2 linked regions of the Lonchura striata genome follow. The protein of the gene in region 1 purifies or fractionates together with the protein of each later gene. This does not show direct contact. Links are inferred from orthologs where the notes say so. Each region holds a gene or a part of one and is shown in the gene's direction. Other genes may lie near its edges.

The links. The genes of interacting proteins can lie anywhere in the genome.
Region 2: the proteins of TRAF3IP2 (region 1) and CD40 purify together in Homo sapiens (affinity purification with western blotting, with the first as the bait; 3 studies listed by BioGRID). This does not show direct contact. The link is inferred for Lonchura striata from reciprocal best matches to the Homo sapiens genes TRAF3IP2 and CD40.

What each region holds. Positions count from the first base shown.
Region 1 is NC_134605.1:68,416,621-68,423,559, forward strand, and holds the start of TRAF3IP2 (E3 ubiquitin ligase TRAF3IP2), read left to right. Parts: upstream 1-3,918; 5' UTR 3,919-4,295; intron 4,296-4,611; exon of another isoform or gene 4,612-4,658; intron 4,659-6,939. UniProt on the Homo sapiens protein: E3 ubiquitin ligase that catalyzes 'Lys-63'-linked polyubiquitination of target protein, enhancing protein-protein interaction and cell signaling. Transfers ubiquitin from E2 ubiquitin-conjugating enzyme UBE2V1-UBE2N to substrate protein.
Region 2 is NC_134619.1:8,306,296-8,313,676, forward strand, and holds the start of CD40 (tumor necrosis factor receptor superfamily member 5), read left to right. Parts: upstream 1-4,310; coding exon 4,311-4,358; intron 4,359-5,561; coding exon 5,562-5,643; intron 5,644-6,178; coding exon 6,179-6,304; intron 6,305-6,402; coding exon 6,403-6,546; intron 6,547-6,770; coding exon 6,771-6,870; intron 6,871-7,381.

The sequences.
Region 1 (6,939 bases):
CAAAAAGTAAAGAAATGAGATTATCCTTCTTCCCCTACAGCCAGGCTAGAGCTTGCCAAGGGCTCTGGTTTGCTTTTTTGTGCATCAGCATTTGTTGCTGAGCTCATGCACCCAGAGCCTTGCTTAGCTACCTACTGTCACAGCTTCACACAAAATTCCTGAGCCCTGAAATGGATGAATTCTAATCTGGAAAAAGAAAAAAGAATGCAGGGCTGTTTTGTGACTACTGGGGCTCAGCCTCATGCCAGAGGCCTGTCTCTGAGCCCTGGCAGTCCCTGTGCTTTATTCACTGCTGCAGTTCAGGCTCTGGGCTGCCTCTCAATTCCACAGGCAGCTGGATTTCCCCAGCTAGAAAATGCTACTCGTATAGGAGGGTCTCTGGTGTTGGGAAAGGGCTGCAGGGGTCCCAGCACACCGCTCCTGGCACCACACATGGCCTGGGCCATCACTGTTCCTGGGACAGGCTTCCAGGAGAGAGTGGCAATGCAGAAGGGACCTGCAGCTTCCCTGGAGGCCCTTTGGACACCCAGAGCTGCCATGCTCTGTTAGCAGCAGCTCAGGCACAAGTGTGTGGAGCTGCTGACAGGTCTTGGGGTGACTTGGGTTCCGGGGCTGTGGTGCTACAGCCCATAGTCCCAGTGACAGTGGAGAAACAGCTTTGTGTCTTAAACAGAGAGGACTAGCTACGGTTGATCACACAAGTGCTCAAGTGCTCCCTCAAATTCCCATGCCTCCCAAAAGGAGTGCAGCCACCAGCTGAGCTTTGTCTATGACCTCATATATATCCAGTGTATAAAACACATTCCACATATTGAACATTTGCATATGTTACATGTCTTTTGTTCCACTTGGGTGGCCTTTTCCTCCCCTCCCCCCATGACTCATCCACACAGCTCCCATCACATTATTCTGGACGTGTCATTTCTGAAGGACTACACATCCCTGTCCTGCAGAGAATGGGGGCTCTGTTAATTGTCAAATGTTGAGTGGGTAATGATCAATGGGTGACTAATTGGATGCAAGAGGGAATAAAATAGGTATTACTTAGCTTCTGCTCTTAATTAAGAGGATACATAATGCTGTGGGGAAAATCTTAACAAATGGCAGGAGGTGTTTTTGTCATTATGCAGGGTTTAATTACATGCATTGCACAAGCCAACATCCAGGTACTGTTTTCTTTCCTTTCAGGTGTCTCTCCAGGGTGTGACTGAAAATTGACAAAGCAAGAGCCTTAAAATAAAATAAGTGGAAAATATTTTCGCAGGCATGTGCCTAGCAATGTAAACAGCAAGACATAGAAGAAAGTCCCGGTTTTCCTCACAGTGCAAAAGCAGCAAGGGACATGCAGAGAACCAGAGTGAGACCAGTGCATTATGCTGAGGCAGAGGGGGTTAAAGGCTCACTGCAATGTCTCCAGGTTAATTCACAGCACCAATGTTAAAAGAGGAGTAACATGACAGTGCGCTATTTAAACAGTTAATAATTTGGAAGCAAAAATATTCATTATTTATTTCTCCAAAAACAGAGATGTGGTAAGAAATATGAGACGGGGCACTCAATACCAACATTTTCTTCCTAATGAAAAAAGAAATATTACAACTCCTGCCGGATAAGGAATGGATTTTAAAAAGAAAAAAATGGTCCGTGTTACTTGCCTTGACAAAGAAAACCATCCTGCACTTGAATCTGTTCTTTCTATGACAGGCCCAATATGACTCATCACGTTCTGCTTGTAAATAATGTACAGATGAGATTCTAACTTTAGAGAGTTCAGAGTTTTATCTGGCTTTCAGTGAGTGAAGTCAGTAGGGTAGGAAGACTTCAAATATATAAAGGAGGCCTTCAGAAGGCAATTATGATGGCTTCAGTTTTGGGGATGAGGGAGGTTTTTGAAATGCTAAAATTAACTTGGGTATCTATTGTCCAAGTTTCCTAATCCAAAAATGAGTTAATTGACAACAGTTTCTACAGCTTTGTGGGAGTGTACTGAGGTTTGGGCTGGACCTTTGAAACCCACTCAGCAGACAGTGCTGTTAACAGATTCAACAGAGTGTGACTTTCAAGCTATTTTTCCCCTCTTTGTCTAAAGTACATAATTCTCAAGAGAAAGGAAACTGCTCCAAATATCTGCTGTTTTCTGGGGCTTGGCAAGTTAAAGAGGGGACAGAGACTGGTTCTTTGGCCGCATCTGCAGACATCATTAGATCTCTGCATTTCTGGAGCTGAAGTGACAGATCTCACAACCAGAATGTTCCTCTCCTGGACAACCGACAGCTGTCTACAGGGGTGGCAGGTGGACACTGTTGTTTGCTGGATGTTACAGACCAGTGTCCAGGGTTTGACCAGCGGAGAACAGAGGACTGTCCATACCCATTGTCAGTGAGGGAGGCCATCCACGGCGTGAAGAGAGGTGCTTGATGGCTCCATAGCAGAACCTTTTATAAAGAAACCCCACAGATGTGGGTATTGATGAAGCATTCCACGGGACACTCTGTCTGCCAAGTCCCCATGCTGCTTGCATTCCCTGAGGAGCTGGTCGTTGCACAGCAAACACTACATACATCCCTCACACACATCCCAGGAAGGTCAGGTGCTCCCCAGAGCAACTCTCCCTCCCTGCTTCCATCCTGTCAACATTCAACAAGGTCCTGATTTTGGCTCCTGTGTGGCCGTGGGCCCCTCACCGCCCTCACCCACTGTGGCACACCAGTGGCAGTGGAGCCATCACTGCTCCTGAGCTGGAGGCCGGTGGGAAAGCCGGCAGGAGAGGCAGCCACCCAAGCCCAGTGCGGTGCAACTCGGGGCTCAGGCAGCCTTGAAGAAAATGCCGGCTGTCAGGGTGCTCATGGTGCAAAACAGCTGTGCAGCAGAGGCCAGGCCAGAGGGATTAAACCTTCAGCTGTGGTCATAATGCAGCCACTCCAGCCGTAAGCATCTAGTGCTCATCACATCTGGGGCTGGCTGGGAGCAGCAGGGACTCTCCAGGGAGTCTGGCAGCGGTCAAGGACAACTTCAGAGTGCTCCAAAAGGGAGCCCTGGTGTCCTGCTGGCCTTTGCCTTGGCACAGGAGGCAGAAAGCGGGGAAGGAGGGGGTCAGGATGGCCAGTTCCAGGGCCAGACTGATGTGGGATTTCTCACCAGGGAAGGTAAGCCCAGGCTGCAGGGCATCACTGCACTGCCATCAATACAATCACACTTAGTGCTCAGCTGGGGGCACATCCTGCTCCCAGCTGCCTGAAGGCAACTTCCAAAAATGTGGGCAGTCATTCCGTGATGAGAGGAGATAATTGCCTGGGTCACTGCTTTGCCTTTGGACCAGAAAGAGGGGCTGGCAGAGTGGCGGGCGTGCAGAGAGAGCCCTTCCCGAGGGCAGGAATGCTGGGTATGTGCCCCCTTCCTCGGCCCCCCGTGTCACTGGAGGGGCACAGGAAGGAGCAGCGGTGGCACTGCCAGAGCTCGGAGCTCGGGGGTGGTTTCCATGTCCCTGTGCCAGGCAGACCTGCCAGGCATCCAGGCAGCCGCGGTGTCCGCCTGCGGCCACCCGGAGGGTGGGGAGCCGTGCCAGAACGTCCTCCTAGGGTGAAACTAAGAAAATGAGGCTGGAGATCACGAAGAGCTTCTCGGCAGGGAGATGCGCTGCGTGGGGGTCAGGACAGTGGCGTGGCCTGGGATAAAAGCGGCCAGAGCGGCTTTCCTGGGGCAGCTCACCGGGCATCTCCGGAGCTGGGAGAACACAAAGTTTCAGCTTGTAGGAAAAGCGATTTTCTGGTCCTTGAGAGTGTAGAAACTTGGAAGTGTCTAGAAAGCTAATATAAAAGAAAGAACCAGTCGAGAAATCCTTTTATTGTTCTTTATATAGTTCTCACACGCGTCATGTGATTCTCTTCGACCGTCTGAATCACAGCTGATTTACCATTTGGCCCTGACAGCAAGCGGCCGAGGGCTGAAAGCAAGGGATGGCTTTCGCGGCGAGGCGCACGGGTTAGGAATCACGCCGGGGTTGCCCTGCGCCCTTCGGCCGCGGCGCTCGGGCAGAGCCGCGGCACCCACGGGCGCGGCAGCGCGGCAGGCACGGCCGGGAGCCGCTTCCCGGCGCCACCGCGCCGAGCCGGCCTGCGCTTCCACTTCCTGCTGCAGGCCAGTTCTGCCGCTCACCTGGGAGAGGCTGGGAGCGTGTCGTAAAAGGAGGGAAGGCCGCCCGGCCGGCTGAGGAAGGAGCCCCGGGCGCGGCGGGAGCGGGAGGCGCAGCGCTCTCGCTGTCCGGGGCAGCCCAGCGCGAACCCCTCGCCCGCAAGGTAAGCAGGGTCAGCGGCGCCGCCTCCCTCGGCCCTGCCGCCCTCGGTGCTGACCCGCGCCTGCCTCTCGCCGGGCTAACCCCCCAAAATTGCTGCCTCGCTCGCTTTCTCCCCCTCCTCGGAGCATGGGAGCCCGGCTTTCACAGATGGTTACAAGGTGTTTCAGCCATTTCGCTGCAGTTTGTTTTGTTTGTTGGTTCTTGTTCTTTTAATTTTTTTAAATCAGGAGGGGTTTGGGGTAAACACAGGGGACGGACACGCCTGGTGTCGAAATGTTGTCCTGCCTATTTACGTAGTTTCCTGGCAATGAGTGGCGGCCAGGCCTGATCCCGATCCCGCCCTGTCCGGTTCTGCAGGCTCAAGGTGGTGTGTTGGCCGATGGCCCTCTCCTTTTCCCTCTCACTTTCCCTCTCACTTTCCTTTCCCCTCCCTTTCCCTTCCTTTTCCCTTCCCTCCCTTTCCCTTCCTTTTCCCTTCCCTCCCTTTCCCTTCCCTTCCCTTCCCTTCCCTTCCCTTCCCTTCCCTTCCCTTCCCTTCCCTTCCCTTCCCTTCCCTTCCCTTCCCTTCCTTTTCCCTTCCCTTCCCTTCCCTTCCCTTCCCTTCCCTTCCCTTCCCTTCCCTTCCCTTCCCTTCCCTTCCCTTCCCTTCCCTTCCCTTCCCTTCCCTTCCCTTCCCTTCCCTTCCCTTCCTTTCCCTTCCCTTCCCCAGCTGACCCGGGGCTGCATAGGACAAGTCCATAGACCTGGTGAGGGAGAGGTGGCTGCAAGGTGTGAAGAAAACAGGATCACAGATGCTTTTTGCCCCATCCTCTATATAGCCTTGGCACAGAAACAAGTGGGAGCAAGGTGGTAGTATTTCTTTTCTATTAGGATAAAACCTGCTTCCATATAAAACCCGTTCCCATTTCACCCAGTCTCAGGATACAGGTTTTGTAGGGTTAGCACTGGCTGGGCGCTGAGATTGGCACATCTGAGCTTACTGGTCCTCAACCACCACCAGTAACGCTGAGACCAGAAATTCCCATTCCCTGCAAGCCCTGGGTGGGTTCAAGGCCTGGACTGGCCACACCAGTGCCCCACCATGACCAGCTGCTGCTGTGACATCTATGACAGGTGATTCCAGAGACAGGGATGCGAGGGGCACGTGCGGCTGGGCCAGGGTGGGTGAGTTGCTGCCAGTGATGCTGCTGCCTGCAGTGCCATCAGCCTCTGAAACCAGCCTTGTCCTTGCAGAATGCTGGCAGTGCCTGGAAGCATGCTGTATATATATTTTTTTTTTAAATTATTTTCCGATGGAGTTGAGTTTTCTTTCTGTTTTCCTAAGGCAGGAAGCAAGGCATGTGCAATTATGGTGTTCGTGTCTGTCAGTGCCCCCCACCCCCAGCAGTGGCTTTTGAAGTTTGGCAGAGGGTACATGTCTGAAAGATACACACATTTCTGCACGTTTCATGACTGCAAGTGAGCGAGGCTGTTCTCACGCCAGCCGAGGGAGACACGTCAGGTCCCGCAGGCTTCCCTCAGCCTCCTGCCGCCCACGCTCCCGCAGCCCTCGTGCTGCAGAGCAGGGAGAGTGGCTACGGATGGGAGAGACATCAGCCCTGAGAAATACCAGGGGCTCTTTGGGAGCCACAGTCTTCGATGTAAGGCATGAAGCTGTAGCAAAGCAGGCTGAAGAAATTGATGCTTTTCAGGGTGATCCCTCCATCCCACCCCACTGAGACAGCCCCAGTTTGGTGACAGGAGTTTTGGATGTCCCCGAGCCCTGGGATATCCCAGGCTGGGGGTTCTTAAGTGCCTGTGAGAGTTTTGTCAGCACCAAAAATGGGTGGGAAGTAGCCTCTGGAAAACAATCACATTTTTAAGGATACTAAAGATAATTGTAGACATTTTCATATTTCACAATGTTTAGAAAGCTGGCAGGGAATGCTGCCTATATCTGAGGTGCCTGTTTGGACCCTGCTAGAGGGGTGTCACCCTTCTAGTTTCTTACTACTTACTGCCAGCATTCCTTCAACATGTATATCAATGTCTACACTAAAAAGGCAAAAAATACCAGGTCTGCTCTAGCCTTTGCACTGTGGATTGTCCACTGAAGCAGCATTAGTGGTGCAAAAAAGAATGTGAAGTTTGCTGTGCAGACAGGGTTTGAAGTATGTTCTCTTGGCACATGTAGATTTTCCTGCCATGGCTTCAGAAAGTACATGAGAGCAACCATATAGCCAGAGGAACATACTATTTTTCTAATTTTTCCAGAAGTCATGAAAATAAGCATTACCTGCCCTAGAGGGCTAAAAGTCTGGACTAGGAATGTGACACATGTCCTTAGTCTTTGCTGTGGAGGGTACCCAAGGGAGAGGGGAGCATCTGTGATGACAGCAGCCGAAATTTCTCACGGTGAAGTGCAAAATTCTGAAGCTTGGATTTCCTTGGCAGTGCTTATTTAAAGTGTAGACCCAAACCAGTTCCCACATTTGTACATGCTCCTCCTGTAAGGATTTCTCTCTGGTTTTTTGTGAGGAAAGTTATGTCTAGTGTTTCTGTAGAGAAAGCTGCACTTAGAGCAAGTGCTCTTGCACACTTACACTCATCTCACCCTGTGGCAACAGCATTCCTTGAGATCTCAGCATGTGCATCCTCACAGCAGC
Region 2 (7,381 bases), on another chromosome or scaffold:
GAAAAAAAAAAAAACTAACAAAAAACAAACACTGCCAAGGCTAACAAAAACCCACCATCCCCGGGATTCAGACCTTCTGGCTTAAAATTCACCTTTAGATAAAGCTTAGATAAATTAATAACACTGAAACTTTCAAGGTGAACTCAAAGTTTGAAAATTATTTAATAAAGTTGTTCTACTTCCTAAACATTCACCCACAGAAATGCAGGATGGGATTTTCTGATTGTAACATGCAAGAAGCTTGGAAAAAGAAAGATGATGAAATTGAGTGTATCAACAGAAACTTATCTTTTTAATAATGCAATGCCTATAACCAAGATACTCCCTAACAGTCCCCTGGAGTAAATACAATTTAAAAGTCATCTCTAAATAAATAAATCAAATATCAAAATAGATAAGACGACTCTATATGAATACTTAACTGGCATGAAAAATACATCTACTCAGATCTTAGACATAAAATGTATTTATTTATCCTTTAAAGATCAATAAATTTCAGATTTGTATCACTCTTGCCCCTTTTTAGGAAACCCTCCAGAGATGGGGGGCAGAGAACGCTTCCTTGTCTAATAATTAACTGCCAGAACCGGGGTGAGGAAAACAAACTCAACACCCAAAACAAAATCCAACAAAATTAATCTCCTCTATCATATTTGCCCCAGTCCCCCTCCAAGTTTGTCCACACACATACACAGTTTTATCTTCCCCATGAGTAGTAACAAATCCCATTTTTTTAATGCAAAAGCACTGGACTTCTATTCCACTACTGCAGCTCAAGTTCTCATCAGTTGAGGGTACAGAAGCTTTCAAAATTTCCTCAAAATGAATAAGAGGCAATAAAATATAGAAAACACCATCTAGCTCGAGATCCCACTCAGAGCAGAATGCAGTGCACAGGCACACACAGCAAACAGGTGTCACACATGCCTGTAGCTGCTGGCAGGACAGCTCACTTTCAGTACAAAAAGCTGTAAGAAATTCCCTTTCGTGTTCCTTCGGGGTGGGGATAGCAGGGGGTGTCTGAGGAAGAGGCTGCAAGAACTTTCCACGTTAAGAAAACCAGAGAGCCATTTTCCAACTTCAAAACAATCAGTAAATCAGATGAGTTATCCCAGAACTCTCATCTAAGATAATTCACTGCCTCTTACCCTTTTCCACATGGCAGATTACATAGTTAAGGGCCATTTAGTGATCATAAGACCAGAATAAATGAATGTTGTCCCACCTCTGGGCACGCTACGTCAGGTGAACACCTAATTCCCACATTAAGTCCTGTTGTACAAATGCAGCCAGAGAGGCACCGGGGCACTTTAAAGGTGCCAATTCCCCGCGCAGTAACTCTGGGTCCTACCACAGGACAGCCCACGGCACCTCATGAGCCCACAAGCGCTCTGGAAATCAATTAAAGCCACATCTCTCTAAAAATCTTATATTTAAAACCAGAGTCGTTTATTAATAGCGCTACAGCCTCAAGGAAGCAAGACTGCTGGAGTGGGACATTGCATCTGATTTGCCACAAGCGAAACTCCGCACAAGTCTCCAGCAAGTTCAGGGGCAGAGCAGAAACAGCGGGCACGGAGGGCAGAGGTGCCGAGGAGCGGGGAGCTTCCCCCGGGGCAGGAGCTTCCCTCGGAGCGGAGCCGCGCTCTCCCCAGCGCCAGCAGGGCCCTCCGGGGGCAGCGCTGGCACCGCCCGGCCCGGCCCCCCGCACACGGTAACCCGGAGAGCGCCTCCGCCTTCCCCCCGTCAGAGCGCGCCCCGGCCGGCCCCTGCCCCGGGCCCCTGCCCCGGGCCCCGCCGCAGCTCCCGGGGCAGCGGGGAGGAACCCCCGGCCGGGAGCTTCCCCGGCGGCCGCCGCTCCCACCCGTGCTCCCCCTACCTCCGCCCGGGGCTGCCAGCGCCGCTCACCCGCACAGCGGCTACTCCGGGGGTGCGGGGCGGCCCCACCGAATCCCGGTGATCCCGCGCTGCCCGGACGCGAGGCGGAGGCGCGGCCCGCCCGCAGGCCGCGAGGCACGCCCGGCCCGGCCTCAGCCGAGAGCCGGGAGGGACCGGGCCCTCAGCGGGGCTCGCTGCCGGTAGCCTCTCGCTCGGGCGCTCCGCGCAGCGGGGCCGCGGGCCCGCAGACTCACCGCCGCTCCCGGCCCGGTCCCGGTGCCCCGTCAGGCCGCCGCCGCCAGGACAAAGGCGCCACCCGCCACTACCGCACGGCGCCGTCGCAAGGAGGAGGAGGGGGAAGCACGGTTGCTATGGCGATGTAGCGCGCTTTACGGCGCGGCGGCGCACCGCCATGCCTGCCGAGGCAAAGGCCACTTGCCCCGGCTCCCGGCATGTCCCGCGGCACGGCGCTGCAAGGCACGCCGGGAGTTGTAGTGCCGAGGAGGCCAGGCGGCCGCTGGGTGGCGCTTTCGGACCTCGCGCGGGGGAGGCGGCGGGATCGGGATCGGGATCAGACAGGGACGGGGATCAGACTGGGACAGGAACCGGGATCGGGATAGGACCGGGACCGGGATCGGGATCGGACCGGGACCGGGATTGGGATCGGGATCAGACTGGGACAGGGACCGGGACTGGGATTGGGATCAGACAGGGATCGGGACCGGGACCAGGATCAGATTGGGACTGGTATCAGGATCAGACTGTGACAAGGACTGGGATCGGGATCAGACTGGGACAGGGACCGGGATCAGGATCGGGATCAGACTGTGACAGGGACTGGGATCGGGATCAGACTGGGACAGCGACCAGAATCAGGGTCAGACTAGGACAGGAACCAGGATTAGGATCAGGATCAGACTGAGACAGGGATCAGGATCGGGATCAGACTGCTGTTGAGACAGGAGTAGATGTCGGGGTCAGACAGGGACCGTATGGGGCTTTTGAACGGGACCGGGACCGGTGTCAGGATCGGGACCGGGGTGGGGATCAGACCAGGACAGGTTCTGAGACTGGAACCGCGATTGGGATCAGACCGGAGCCGGGGCCAGGGCCAGGACCGGAGTGTCCTTGCCCCGTTCAAGGGGCAGCGTTCCCGTGCTGCACCCCTAGCGCCGGTGCCGCCCCGAGCAGCAGCTGCCCCGGTACTCTGTCCCGCTCTGCGGGTAGCGGGGTCGGGGGCTCTCGTAGGGGCTCCCACCTGAGCAGCTCCTGCCGAGCGGGAGCACGGGCCCCCGCTGCCGCCCGGGACCGGGAGCAAGAGGCGCTCACAGCCCGTGGCCACGGGAGAACCTGCTCAGGCAGTGCCCGGCGCCGCGGGGATTTCCCAGGCCAGGTCCACAGGAGTCGGGCCCAGAAATCCCCTTCTCTCCGCAGCCGCCCCCTTCGCCCTCGAGATTCCCCAGGGACCCTTCGTGCTCCCGAGTGAGTCAGTTCTGGGAAGTGACATTGGGCCGGGGAATCCAGAGCGCTCGGTTCCCAATTCCCGCTGCCCGCGGGGAGCGCGCTGCCCTTCTGCCGGGAGCAGCTGTGCCCTGGCGATGGCCGATTGTGGCCACCACCTCCTGCTGGGGCCGGGGCCGTGCCCGGGCAGGCGGCTGCGGCGGTGTGTCCGCTCGGGCACCGCGGCACCGTGGCGGCAGGAGTGCCGCAAGTGACCGGGGCACCGAGAGGCGCTGAGGAGCCGCCGTTCGCTGCCCAGCCACCGCAATGCCAAGGGAAGTGCAGGGAACGTCTCCGGAGCGGGCAGGGATCCTGGAAATTCCTTGGCGGTTGCTGGGAAGCCCTTTGGGGAACTGAGACGAAGGTACATCAACGTCACAGCACGGTTGCCCCTTCCCTTTCAGGACTGACGTGTTTGCGGGGACACTCCGCGCAGCTCAGGACTCTTGGCGGCTGTGGGGGGCTCTCCAGGGCTGCAGCCAGAGGGGCTCTTCCTGACCACAGCCGTGGGGGCTCTCCAGGGCGATAGCTCAGGGGCTCTTAAAGGCTAAATAAATAAATAAAAAAACCAAAACAAAACCAAAAAACTCTCTGAGCTACTGTTGGAAAGAAGAAGTGAAACCTGGAGCTCCTGGGGGGGTGGGGGACGGGGATGGGGGGCTGCACAGGCGCTCCCCTCCCCTCTCATCTCCTTCCCGCGGACGGCGGCCGACCCCTGCCACTGTCCCTGCCCCTGTTCCTGACTGCAGCCGTGACTCCGGGCCGGGGGTTCCCGGCGGTGGCAGCGCGGGGCTCGGAGGGGCCGGCCGGGAGCTGTCCCCAGCCGGGGCTGGCGGGGAAGCCCCGGGCAGAGCGGTCCAACGCCCCTTCCTGGGCGGGAACGGACCGAGGCGTTCTTAGGAGGGCGGCGGCGGCGGCCGGGGCGCAGCGCCATGAACCGGCTGGGGCTTTTGGGACTGCTCTGCGCGGCGCTGCTGGGCGTGAGTGGGGCCGGGATCGGGGCATGGAGCGGGACAGGGGCGGAGGGGATCCCTCCATCTCTGTGTCTCGCTGGGCTTTCCGGGAAGGGGCACGGTCCGGCCGCTCCGGCCCGTCCCAGGGCGCAGCCGCCCCCTCCGGGGAGCCCCGGGGCTGTGCGCGGGCGGCGTCAGCGGGACCGGGCGGCGCTGCCGCGTCGGCTCTGTCGGTCCGCTCTCCCGGGACCAGGCAGGGCGGACGAGTTGTCTGGACTGCCTGGTACCCTCTCCAGGTCTTGTACCCTCGCGCTTTCGCTTTTCTCCGATGGCGCGGGCCCGGCAGCCCAGCCCCGCCCTGCGCTAGCCCGGGGGTCCCCACGGGCAGGGACGGGCAGCGGCGAGCCCCGGGACCCTCGGCCGGGCCCCCAGCCGGGCAGGGCGCTTCTTTCACTTCTCGGTTGCATGTGGGCGGCTGGGACGGCGCCGCGGCCTCGTCGCAGTCCCCGCGCCGGGGCTGCTGGAGGTGCCCACGGGGGTGGGTGCGCCCGGCCGTGCTGGGTGCTCGCATGGCACCCTCGGCCCGGCCCTCTCTCCCTCGCTCCCTGCCGGAGCTCCGTCCCGCGCCCCAGGATGGCCAGGCCAGTCTGCCGGGACCTGCGGCACTACTGGGGATGCGCAGCGAGGGGCTGGCTCTATGAGACGAACGGGTGCCCTCTTGTACCCTGTCTTGCTCGAGAGCTCATTCCCTGCCTTCTTTTTACCCTTCCCTGTGCAGGTAGTCCCCTGCCAAGAGGAGCAAGGGCAGGCTCTGGCAAAGTTTGCATGAGTGTTGTGTTTGAATGGGGTTTTCCTGTCCCTCAGGGATGGTGTGTCAGCCTAGGGAAGGGGCTGGCAGTGCTCTGGGTGTGAAAGCTTGGTGATCTCGGCTCCCTCTGTGAGGGACTGCAGTACTGTTGGCAGGGGCACAGGGTGATGTGCAATCACCTTATGGTAGGAAATCTGGGGAAATGTGGAGCAACTCTGCCGGAATCACTGTCACCCCACTTCAAAGACAGCACTGATGGCATCAGGCAGCGTGGGTGGCTGCTGTGGTCTGTGGTTAGTGGAGGTGTGGGAAGAACGGTGTGAGGAAGCCCTCACCTCAGGGTGCAGGTTAGCACACATGTCTGTGGAAGCGCGGTGATGCGGAAGCGTTGGATATGAATTCACAGGTCTTGTTTCTTCCAGTTTTGGGAACCTGGTGGTGCCTTAACATGCTTTGATAAGCAATATATATACAAGGACAGATGCTGCAACCGGTGTCGGCCAGGTATGGAAACCCTTTCCTAGGGACCTCACAATTGGGCTGTGCCAGCACCTACTGCCTGGGCACAGCAGAGAAAGCTTCACTTGGTGTGATGGAGCCCCTCCACCTCACTGCCAGCAATGCTGACAGCTTCGCCTCCCTGTGTCATCTCAGTGACAGAGCAACTGGGACCTTGTGGGTCCCGGTCCCTTGGATCTCACCAAATGTGCCACAGCTCTCTTGGGCCTGTTTGTGCACTTGCAGCTACAGGATCTCACAGCAAAGGCAGCTTTGTGGGGAGAGTGCTGGCACTGGCACTAGCAATAGCTCCTGCTGTCACTGTCAGGTCATCTCCCAGTCCCTGGGTGCTGGCGTGGTGCCACAGCCCTCCCTCTGTATCTGGCCCCTGCAGTGTTTGTGGTCATCAGGCTGACTCCTTCAGCCCTGCCTTCCATACAGAATAGTGCAGCAGTCCTAGCATCCACAGCTGCCAGCCTTCCCCTGTCCTGCTAGCACAGGGAAAGCCCCCTTGCCCCTTCCTCACGAGCCTCTGTTGCAGGGGAAAAGCTGGTCTCTGAGTGCAATAAAACAGAAGACTCCATCTGTGCCCCCTGCGAGAGCGAGCACTATCAGCCAAGCTGGACCAAGGAGAAGCACTGTGCTCCTCATGATATCTGTGAACGCAGTAAGTGCTCCCTGTGACCACTGACCCCAGCCTGTGGGGATTGGGGGGACTGGCTCCCCTGCATGGTGTCTCACCTTGTCCATGTTCCCTCTGCCCAGATGCTGGCCTTGTTGTGAAGATGCATGGAAATGCAACACACAACACAGTGTGCCAGTGCCGGGCTGGCACGCACTGCTCTGACACCACCTGCCAGACCTGCGTGGAGAACCAGCCTTGCCAGCTTGGCTCTGGCTTCGTGGCAGGTAAATCTGACAAGCTCTTCCCTCTCAACGGAACTTATACCCTGTCAGCGCTGACCTCAGGGAATGGGGGATCCCCCAGCATGATGCTCCCTGGCAGGGCTTTGGGAGAGCTGTGCCATTGCCACGGGGTGTGCCGCACATCTGGATTCTGCAGCCCCTTGCCCCCTCAGGCCCTCACCCCCCATAGCCCTACTGACCTTCCTGCCATCTCTGCTCCTCTTCAGCCAAGGCCATGGACCGGATGTCATCCCCCTGTGAACCCTGTGCAGAAGGCACCTTCTCCAATGTCTCTTCTAAAACCGAGCCGTGCCACCCCTGGACAAGGTATTGTCTGAGTACAGACTGTGTCCTTCCACCAGCCCCAGTGAACACATCCTCTGCTGCCAGTTTTCTTGGTGGTCTTGGGGACTGGGCATCAGGCTGGTTTGTGAGTGACACAGCATCTGGCTGGTGTAGGGCCAGAGTGAGAGGAACAGGGCTAAGAGAACAGTGCGGACCAGGGCAGCATTGGCTGAGGTCGAGGCAGACATTCAGGCACTTATGTCTGTCCTTCACCATGTGCACAGACTGCTTGTCCCTTCAGGGATGTCCGTGCTGTCATCCATGCTGGAAGTAAGGGATCAGGGTCAATGGGGATGCCCCATGCCCTGTTCAGGTTCTCCCTCCCAGTGCTCTCTGTGGCTGTAGTCATTAGCCAAAACACAAGCCCTCTCCATGGGGAGTTTGGCTTTGAGGGTGCCGTGAACTGGCAGGTCATCCCTGTCTTTAGAAAGCTGCTTGAGGGTTAATTGCAGTTCCTGGTAGAAACATGAGCCTTATTTCTAAGCTGAATTAG